2 linked regions of the Yarrowia lipolytica genome follow. The protein of the gene in region 2 purifies or fractionates together with the protein of the main gene of each other region. This does not show direct contact. Links are inferred from orthologs where the notes say so. Each region holds a gene or a part of one and is shown on either strand. Other genes may lie near its edges. The genes, in order: YALI1_B11200g and YALI1_E03220g.

The links.
Region 1: the proteins of YALI1_E03220g (region 2) and YALI1_B11200g purify together in Saccharomyces cerevisiae (affinity purification with mass spectrometry; 4 studies listed by BioGRID, with this or other methods). This does not show direct contact. The link is inferred for Yarrowia lipolytica from reciprocal best matches to the Saccharomyces cerevisiae genes SDA1 and REA1.

What each region holds. Positions count from the first base shown.
Region 1 is NC_090771.1:1,118,260-1,123,381, reverse strand, and holds the start of YALI1_B11200g (uncharacterized protein), read right to left. Parts: upstream 3,308-5,122; coding exon 1-3,307. Other genes in the region: YALI1_B11183g (uncharacterized protein), read right to left, coding at 4,545-4,988. UniProt on the Saccharomyces cerevisiae protein: Nuclear chaperone required for maturation and nuclear export of pre-60S ribosome subunits.
Region 2 is NC_090774.1:319,164-324,105, forward strand, and holds YALI1_E03220g (uncharacterized protein), read right to left. Parts: upstream 2,848-4,942; coding exon 691-2,847; downstream 1-690. Other genes in the region: YALI1_E03185g (uncharacterized protein), read left to right, coding at 1-585.

The sequences.
Region 1 (5,122 bases), on a different chromosome or scaffold from region 2:
CGTCGGTGGGCGCCAAATTCAGCTCGTCAAGAACAATCCAAGCTCCTCGTCGCAGAGCCTGCACCAGAACTCCCTCCTTGAACTTGAGCTTGCCCTCGGAATCAGCCACGTATGTGCCCAGGTATTCCTGCAAGTCCGTGTGTTCGTGGTTGTTGATACGCACAAACTCGTGACCGGTTTTCTGAGCAAGGTACCGGATCATGGACGTTTTTCCAGCAGAAGTGGGACCCTGGATAAGCACAGAGGACTTTCCGGACGTGGCTCGGACCAGATTGAGCAGGTTCTTGGTCACAAACGGCGTCATAACGTACTTCTCGTCGTCGTAGGGAGTCAGCGGTCCCGGCTCCAGCCAGTAATGCTCGAAAGCAACATGTTTGTCGCTGGGGGCCTTGGTTTTCTGTGTCATGATCGACTTTTGGTCCTTGAGCTTGTTGACAGTGTACTTCTTGATGACTTCATGGAGAGTAGCCTCGGAGTCGGCATCCAGCAGAGTCAGGAAAGACATGCAGAAGCCCTCGTACAGCGACCGACGCAACCCTCGGGGTCCAAACAGATGCGCAATCTGCGACACGTAGACCAGTGTTCTGGACAGCGTTCGAATGGAGAAATGGGGCTTCTGGCCCGCTCCGTCCACAATCTTGTTCTCGGCAGACAGTTTCTTGGCTGTTAAGTACAAGTCCGCCACGTCGTTGTGGATGCCAATAGTGGAGTCCGACACACATAAGTGGCCAATGTACCGGTCGATGATCTTGAGCAAGTCATCAAAGTTCTCGTCGGGAGAAGACACGTAGAGCTCTGTGAACCGCGACCGGAGACCCAGAGGCAGGTCTCGTTTACCGACATCGGTAGCCGGATTCATGCATGCAAACATTCTGAAGTCTGGATGAGCCACAATGGTCTCTGCGTCTCCCTTTTCGGACAAGAGAAGTGTTCGGGGCTCGGACAGAAGATCAGAAATGGCCTCCAGAGTGTCGGGAGACGCCAGGTTGATCTCATCGAGCAACACCCACTCGCCCTTTCGCACGGCCTGGACAATGGATCCCTCGATGAACTGGAACACAAACGACGACTGGATCTGCTTGTACTGGATCTCGAACGCCAGGAGATTGCTCTGGAACTGGTCCCACTGAGCCTGCAGTGACACGGTTTCCTTGTCGGTCAGCTTGCGCCGCTTACCGCTCTCGGATTCCTTCAGCCGTCCAGCAGACAGCTTGACCGCCTCCTTCCACAGCCGAATGCAGTTCTTCCAGTGGCGGATGTTAAAGGCCCGGGTCAACAGCTTCATGAACTCCACGTTCTTCTTTGCAGAAAAGGTGGCCGAAAACACCTCCTGGAACTCATCCATCAACGGAACCGCAATCATAGACACGTCGACGGGCTTAAATCCACCCAGAAGATCGCCGGCCTCAGTCTGCTGAGACACGTTGACAACGGTGAGTTTCTTGTTCATCAGAGAAGCCACGTTCTGAACCACAGTGGTCTTACCGGTACCAGTTTCTCCAACCAAAAGAAGCGGCTCGGTGGAAGAAATGGCCACGCAAATCTGCTCCATCAGCTTGGACGCGTGGTTGGTGTTGGCAAACAGACTGTTGCTCTTCTTCTTCTGGCCAGTGACTTGTTTAGTCAGCAGGCTTCGTCCCACCTCCAGGCTGTCGCTGCTATCCTGGTAGGCAGGAACTCGGCCAAGGAGAACATCTACCTTGGGAGCAGACATGCCCAGACACTCTCCAATCACATGGGCAGCCTTGTTTCGGGCGTCCGAGTTGCTCAGAAAGCCGGCAAAGCAATCCAGAGCCTCCAGAAAGATGAACTCGTACACGTGGTTGGGCAGAGGGTCATTTGGAGACGTGTATCCGAGTCTCAAGATCATGGCACTCACTCGGTTGCACAGTTTGATTAGGTCGTTCAGGGAAACCACTCGAGAAACGGCAGATTTCGTCAGAGAAACAAAACTGGATGAGCCGTACAGAGCGACAATGGCCGCAAACGTGTCTTGGAAGGACTCGGCCATGGCGGAAATCACGTGGTATCGCTCCTTGATGATGGTGACAATCTCCTCGGGCTGCAGCTCCGGGAGCTCCACCTGCTGCCATAGTCGCAAGCCGATAATCTCGTTTGTGTGAGCCCCGATCTTCTTTCGCATGGTTCCCACCAGTCGGAAGCCAGCGTGGGCCTTGATCACCTCGTCTCTCGAGGGAATGACGAGTTCTCGCTTCTCCAGTAGAGACAATAGAACCGAAACCACATCGGTGGGGGCTCGGTCAATGTCCTCCACAAGTACCCATCGTCCTTCCTTGATGGCTGTAGTCAGTACACCGTCTCTCCACTCGAAAGACCCCGGTTTGGAGCCGGTGGTGTACGCTCCAATCAGCAGCTTGGAGTCTGTCTGATCGCCGAGATGGATTCGCACCATGTTGTCCAGCTTGGACAGGTTGCGGGCAATCTCGTTCACATAGAAGGTCTTTCCCGAGCCCGAGGGGCCGCTCAGAAGAATGGGCGCACTGGTGGAGAGCGCCTGGCCCAGCTCATTCATGATTTCAACACTCGTGTCGGTCTCCACGTAGTCAGAAGCCACGGGAGAGGGTCCTCCAAGTCGAGGAATCAAAGAAGAACCAATAGGAGTGTTGAGAGAGTTGAGCTCCGAAACGGGGATGTGAATGTGTGTGGTAGGCAGCAGGTCACGTGCCAGAGCCAGCACGCGCTCGCTCTCTCTGTACTCGAGCTCTGCGTCGCATTTGGTCATTTCAAACACCTTGTACAGCAGCTGCTTGGCCATGTCAAAGGACATTAGTCCGCTCACCACCTCCTTGTCCACCAGACCGCCGTACGTCTCTCTATCAAACGAGACGAGGCGGTAGAAGGCGAGCAGAATGGCCTCTGTCTGTGTCTCACTCTGGGGCACCTTGAGCATCTCCATGAAGCCCATCTTTGAGACGAAATGAGAGCAGAGGGTCTGGATACCCGGGCACACAGCAACATCACGCGCGAGAGCAGTGAGCACGAGAACGGCGTCATCGCCACTACTGGCGCTTGTGATCCACCGCGCCACCAGATCGGGGGCGATTTGGGGGCATGAGGGCAGAATTGGTGTGGTTAAAGCGGTGGTGGATAATTGCGTGAGGGTGTGGTTTTGGTAATCAGTAGGGATTGATGTGGTGACTGGGTTAGTAACGCAACGGTAGTGGGGATCGGGCAACAGGAGAGTCACCTCCGCCGGGATCAAGTGGCACATGTTGTTGACAGACACGATGGCACCAGTTTGGACAAGTAAATCAATACTCAATGCTTCAAATGACCTTTCATCCATCTCCAAGTGTCACACTTGAAACATGGCTGACATGGTCCATGCTCACCGTCACAACACAACATAGTAACACGGCCAACTGACAACCTGGTGTCGTTTGCATTTATTCAGTTGTTTGTAAGTTGTGTTTGCCTCTTTCTCCCTTCCTCTCCCTACTTGCTCCTCCTCTCTCTCGATACTCACTCTTGTCACCGGATGCAACCATTTTGTATCGTTTATCGTATGTATGAACCTGTAGTCGTAGGGCAATGTCGTAATCGCAATCTGTGTTAGAATCGCTCCAATATCTAATCTCCAATCTCCAATCTCAAATATCCAAGATCCAAGATCCCGCTCGCCACCATACTCACTTGAAGCGTAATGTCGCTGCTAGGTCTCCGTCTTGCAAGACAGGTAAATCGAATGAAGCTGGCGGGTCTGTATGTATGTGTCAGATTCTGGGTTAGTTTTGTCCGCCGGATAATCTCCAGTCGCTGCTCTCGACGTCTCGCCCCACTCACAATTCCAAAAGCTCCAAAATCAACAATATCAAGATCTGCTGAAAAGTCGTTACACGATCAAGCACTGGTCTGCAAAAAAATATAAGTTCATGCACCAATATTTTTTTCCATCGCAATGCACCCCGAGCTTATTTTTTATTTTTTATTTTTTATTTTTTATTTTTTATTTTTTATTTCAAAATCTGGAGAAAAAATACAACAGATTTGAGGGTGTAGAAACAGTAGTAACGGTGTCTTTGGCACCAATTGGCCTGGTGATATTTATTGTTTTCTGCTGACAAAAAAAAAACAGCCATATTGATCGACTTTACCACACTTCAAGAATGTCCAACTATAGGGAGAGTAATTGTGGATATTACTTATAGCTACAGTAAGTACTGCACATTCAATTTCCGTGACTCACTTCATCTACAAGTGCTGACACTCGATAACCCCCTTGAACCATCTGTTTCTCGAGACTATCCCCTGATCATCGCTTACTAAGCAAAAAACGTGCCTATTTGCCACCGGATCAACGTCTTGACACGCCTTAGATGCAGCTTCTTTTACTGCGCGTTTACTCACCATTTACTTGGGGTTTCAACTAATTCATTACCTTATTCAACCCAACTGTGGACGTCAGAAAAAAAAGTGAAGACGTGTTAAGATGAAAGCACCTGTAGGTCCGTGCCAAGCAGCATGTCGATAGCTTTTTCTCGCTGGTGTCTGCTCAGAAGAGCTGCTGGGCTACTCTTCGCTTTCTATGCCTCTCCCTTATTCCACTTGTCCACCACCTTGGCCATCTCCTTTCTAAACCCCTGACTATCAATGCTAGTCTCGGTCTCATCGTAGAATGGATTGCTCTTGTACGCCACCAGCACCTTGAGCACCTGCTTGGCAAACTGCTCAATGCTCTCGGAGCCCTCCTGGGCCTCGCAGCCAATCACAATCTTATTGGCCGTGTTGGTGAGCATACCGTACACCGCCAGCTTGTGCACGTATAGAAGAGACACGGTGCCGGCGTTTTCGTTCTGCTGCTGGCCCAGATAGTCCAGAGCCATGTATGCTAGTGACGAGTAGTCGTACTCGAGCTGTGTGGTGGTTTCGCCTTCACCGGGATAGATTCCGATGAACAGAGGGGTGTTCTGTGTTAGAAGAAGAAAGGAGCTTGTACGACAGCATCGCGACAGTCCATCACCAAACATGACTTGGACACCTTGTCTCTTCGACGTCAGACAATGCTCTTTCAGCGACAGACGTTGAATGAGATAGCAGCTTGCTTGATACACGAACCACGCTGTTTCTCCAGAATTCACGCGAGGGTGTGTGACAGCCAGTC
Region 2 (4,942 bases):
CCAGCAGGGTCACAAGGGACACGAATCGGCGTCGATGGTGTGGACGTGGAAATGGAGGGAAACAACTCGAACCACGCCCCTGTTGTGAAGCTGGAAGATATTATTGACGAATCTACTACACCTCCGCTCGCTGATGCCCTTGTGTTGAATGCTCCGAGGACGGAGATTTTACATCGGCCAAGTCACAGAGCATTGCAAGTTTACATTCAGAACAGGCAAAAATGGCAAAATCTAATCGACCGATTGCCTCATCACGAGGTTGTGTACCTCCAGCGTGTCACTGACTTACTCAGTGGCGACTTTGACGAAGTTTACCACCAAGTATCCTACCATGGTGATGATTACGACGCGATAAACAGCCAGCCTGGAAGGTGGAACTCTGTTCACGACGTGTATCTTACTGATGTGACTGAATCAAAGGAGCTTGCACAATACTCTGTGGAACAAAAGTTCAACCGCAAGAAGTACTTGGAGGAGACTTTGACGGTCAACAAGGTGGCGGAATGGCTAGCCAACTTTCAACCTACGAAATACGGCCATCCTATCCATACTATTACCAGTCACCAGACGCTTACTAACTACTAATATACAATACAATACAGCTTGTCAGTGGTGGATCCGCTGTCTATAATATCAATACAACAAATAATACCTTTTTTCTATACCATGCTATAACTGAACCATCTATAACTAGAATCCCTTCTTCTTCTGCTTGTCGATATGAGCTCTCAGCAAACGCTTCTTCTCGATGAGCGATCTCTTGGCCTTGCCCTGGACATCCTTCTTGTGGATAGTCATCATGAAGTTCTTCTTTCGGGCCTTCTCTCTGTTGGTGGTGGAGTGAGGGGCGTCTCGCTTTCCCTTTCGAGAACCGAACTTTTCTCGTCCTTCTCGTCCTTCCTGGGCCTGTGCAATTCGCTCCTCTCGCAGCTGCTTGTACTTGACAGGTCCAATCAGGCCACGAGCATCGACCTCATCCTCGTTGGTGAGCTTCTTGCCCATGAGCTTGTCGAAGCCCGCCTGGGCCTTGAGCTCCTCGAGCTTGGCAAAGTCAGCAGGAGTGAGAATCTTGGTAGCCATAATGTTCTGGGCCTCGGCAGCAGCGTCGGCAGCAGCCTGGGCCTTAGCAGCTTTGGCTTCGTCGTCGAGTTCCTCCTCGTCTTCACTGTCAGAAATGTTGTACTCCTTATCGTCCTCAATGTTGATCCATCCGGACTCAGAGTCGTCAGAGTCATCATCAGAGTCAGAATCAACCTCCCAAGCCTTCTCATCATCTTCCTCCTGGACCTGGTCAGCTTTCCACTTGGCCAACAGCTCGAGACCCTCGATACCGGTCTGGCCCTTCTCAATACCATACTGGAGTCGAGAAGAGGTACCGGCCTTAGCGTCAGCAGACATAGCCATGGATGCCTCCTTACCTCTATCCTTTCGTGCAAGCATCTCGGGTGCAACCTCTCGGTAGAGGGAAACAAGAGATCGAGCAGCCATAACAACTGCTTTGGCCTTGGAGCCTTTGTAAGCAGTAAGATCCTGAAGAAGGGGAGCCTCAATAGCAAGAGGATTTCGTGCCAGAATCTCACGGATGGTGTTGATACCAGCAGAGCAAACCTCGGCAGAAACACCATCAGAGACGAACTCGTCAGCAATCTTTCGGATCATGGGTGTAATGGCATCAGGGGGCACGAGATCATGGGAAGCCTGCGCGGCGGCAGCCATGATCTGAGTGACGTCCTTCTGCTTGGGGGTGAGGTATTTCAGGAAATGAGAATAGATGCCCAGAACGGTGAGCTTATGTGTGCCGATCATTCGAGACACGAGGTTCATGATCTGAATTTTCTGCTCAAGATCGTATCTATACTTGCATAAGTTTGTAAAGAGCTGGTCGGCAAAACCCTGGGGGTCTCGCAAAAGATGCAGGGCGGAAAAGTTGAGGTAGGTGGCAGACACACCACCGTTACCCTTTCGCTTTTTCAGCAGTTTGTTCATGGCAGACTCGGCCTTTCGTCCTCGCTTTCGGGAGTTCTTGTTGATCTGTAGTCGATGCTTAAGAGCACCGATCTCGGCAGAGGCATCGGAATCAGAGTCCTCGGCGTTAGCCTCCTCTCGCTCCTTGTCAGCGCCAAGGAAGAATCGCACACCAGAAATGGCAATCTTGGCCTCTCCGTGAAGAGTAGCCTGAGCCATGATTTCCACAGTTCGGGAGTCGTCCCAAATACCTCGTCTCCACAGCTCTCGGGTCAGTTTAGTGGCCCACAGACCAGAAGACTCTCCAGTGGACAGAACATTAAATAGAAGTGCTTGGACAGACTTGTTGAGCTTCTGAGCTTTGCTTCCAGTGTTGGCACCCTTGACGATGGTGACAATGTTGGAGTAGATCTGAGTTCGCAGCTGCTTGCTGCCAGTGATGAGCAGAATGGGGAAGAGGGTGGCGATAAGCTTCTCGGGGGTGATGACACCCTTGTTCTTGAGAAGAACCATAGACTGGATGAGCTTCTCTCGCAGATCCTCGTCGAGATGCTGGTGGTGATCGAGGATCAGCTTGGACAACTCGTCGGGGAAGTTGGCTGTTTCTTTGGGGTAGCACGATGCAACCTGTGCGACGAATCCAACGAGATCTCCAAACTCCTCAGAGTTCTCAGTCTGAGGCGAGTTCATGTAAATGTCACGAATGGACTCATAGTGCTGGTACTGGAGAAGAAACTCCTCCTTGTAAGAAGGAGGGTCTCGTCGCACCAGATTTTGCAGAAGTGCAATGTTGGTGGGCAAAAGGGCTGCTCTCTTTCTTTTAGCCATTGTGTCGTGTGTATGAATAGAATGCTGCACGATGAATTTTCTTATGCAGTTCATATAATTTTTTTAGAGTTGGAACTCTATACGATGTCGCAGTTGAGATCTGTTGGCCAAGTAATTACTTAGTTACTTTATTTAAATTTAATGGAAACTACAGTACTTAATGTGTGTATCACCTGTGTATATTGATTCGAGTTGTGGTGGGTGCGAGTGAGTCGCGGGGTACACGTACTGTAGGTAAGTATGTGGCTTCGAAACGCATTCGGTTGTTGATACCAAAAGATTCCTGTCCGCATACGGGTGTCCGTTTACGTATCGTACATTCTCTGGGGTAAGTGCATGCGGGGTTGTTAGCAACAGTGACATGGACCCTGGACTGGAAGTGGGGTGGTTTTTGTCGATAAAAGCAAGCCGAAAATGTAGCTGACTCCTGCATCACTGCTTCATCCTCCACCCTGCTGGACTCACATCAAACTAACCGGATACACGCCGTATTATTGTTTTGGCTGTTCTTTGCACCTTGGTCCTACAGTAATCATGGTGTTTACAGTGCGGAGAGAACTGCTGCAGTTATCGTAGCTACATCATACATCATCATTAACGTCTCTTCGTTCCATATGAACCGGGACACACTTCCACTGGCTCATTACTCCAAGGGTAGACAGCCATGTCATCGCGGTTTTGGCCATTATGCTTGTACTCCGTAATGTTGGATGTAGACGGCATCGAGGACATTGAGTACAAGTGACTTCAATACCGTATACACTCGTACCAACTTCCATAGAGCTTCAGGATATGAAACAACACGGCTCGAAAGAGCACCCTGGATTTGTATGGATCTGAAACTCTGTAACGTGTGCAACAGCTAATTACTCCTTGTCAAAGTCACGGCTTCTCGCTCAATAACAAAGCTGATAACGTTCACACAAACAATATAATATAATATGTTTGAACGGCTACAATGGTCCTGATAGTGTGTCCTATCTGTATGTCAGTCGGTGATATACGCCGCTTAGAAAGGCTTATGGGATAAATATCTGCATGGTGAGTGAACCTCATGCATGATAAGATGTGTCTTTCAATCTCTCTTCTCGAGTGAAATCCTGTCTAAAAGAACCACGTGTCTATAACTTCGGAGTAACCATCATTTCGTTGCCTCGGTGTCACATTCATAGTGCATTGTTTTGACAGCTGCAGACAGCGGGAGCCGGAGATGATTGCTTTGACACAGGAATGTGTTTCGAAAGCAGTATATTGCCATGACCGAGTATGTGTCACGTCTCTATTAGCCACCGACAATGTTGAGACTCTACACAATCAATGGTTGCGTCAATTCAGCATATTGTCAATACTACAACTGTAGTTACTGCAAAGCTTCCAGCTGAGCTAGATCTCAATTTTGAATAACCCAAACTGCGAGCTGGTTCAGTCTTGGTTAGCGGTCAATCTAGAGTTACTGTACTTGTATCATGAATCAGGGGACGAGGGCTGTTCATCCTTTGCTTGGCAGCGGCTAAGTTCAGCTAAGAAAACGGCGCTGCGTAGATCACTTTGCACTTTTCAGATAAGAAAGTTGGGCGACTCATTTATGAGATGCTCAGCATCTTCCATTTCACACGTGGCGACGCTTATTTTACCACAGTATGTATATTCAGTTTCTACAGCAACTTCGTTTGAAGAGTAAGCCCCTATACATTCGATTAGTAAACCGCCTCTACAATGTATCGACAAGTATAACGACATATAAAGAGTATCTCTGTGTTTTGTTTGTTTATGCTACAACACCAGCACCCCTTTGAATTACGATACCGGTCTCTTCCAGATATGGCGTGGAGTTATCCCTGCAACATGGCACAATGGATGTCTAAGTATATGTACACTACGTATGTACTACTACATTCTGTACCTGTGTACCTTTTCGCTAAGATGTAGAGAAGACTATACTTCCAGGCTAGGGGGAGTGTATTTGCCCCTTGCGGGGTGTTCTTTTCTCCGAATGTAACATGAATTTTGGCTGGAACGTCCGGATCTGGTACCGCGGAATTTTCACCCCACCCTCGGTCACTCGAGAATAGACCTGGGTGCACCTGCGTGCCGCTATGCTTTGAAAATCAGTGCTAAGACGGAGTTTAACCCACTTGTCATTTTATTA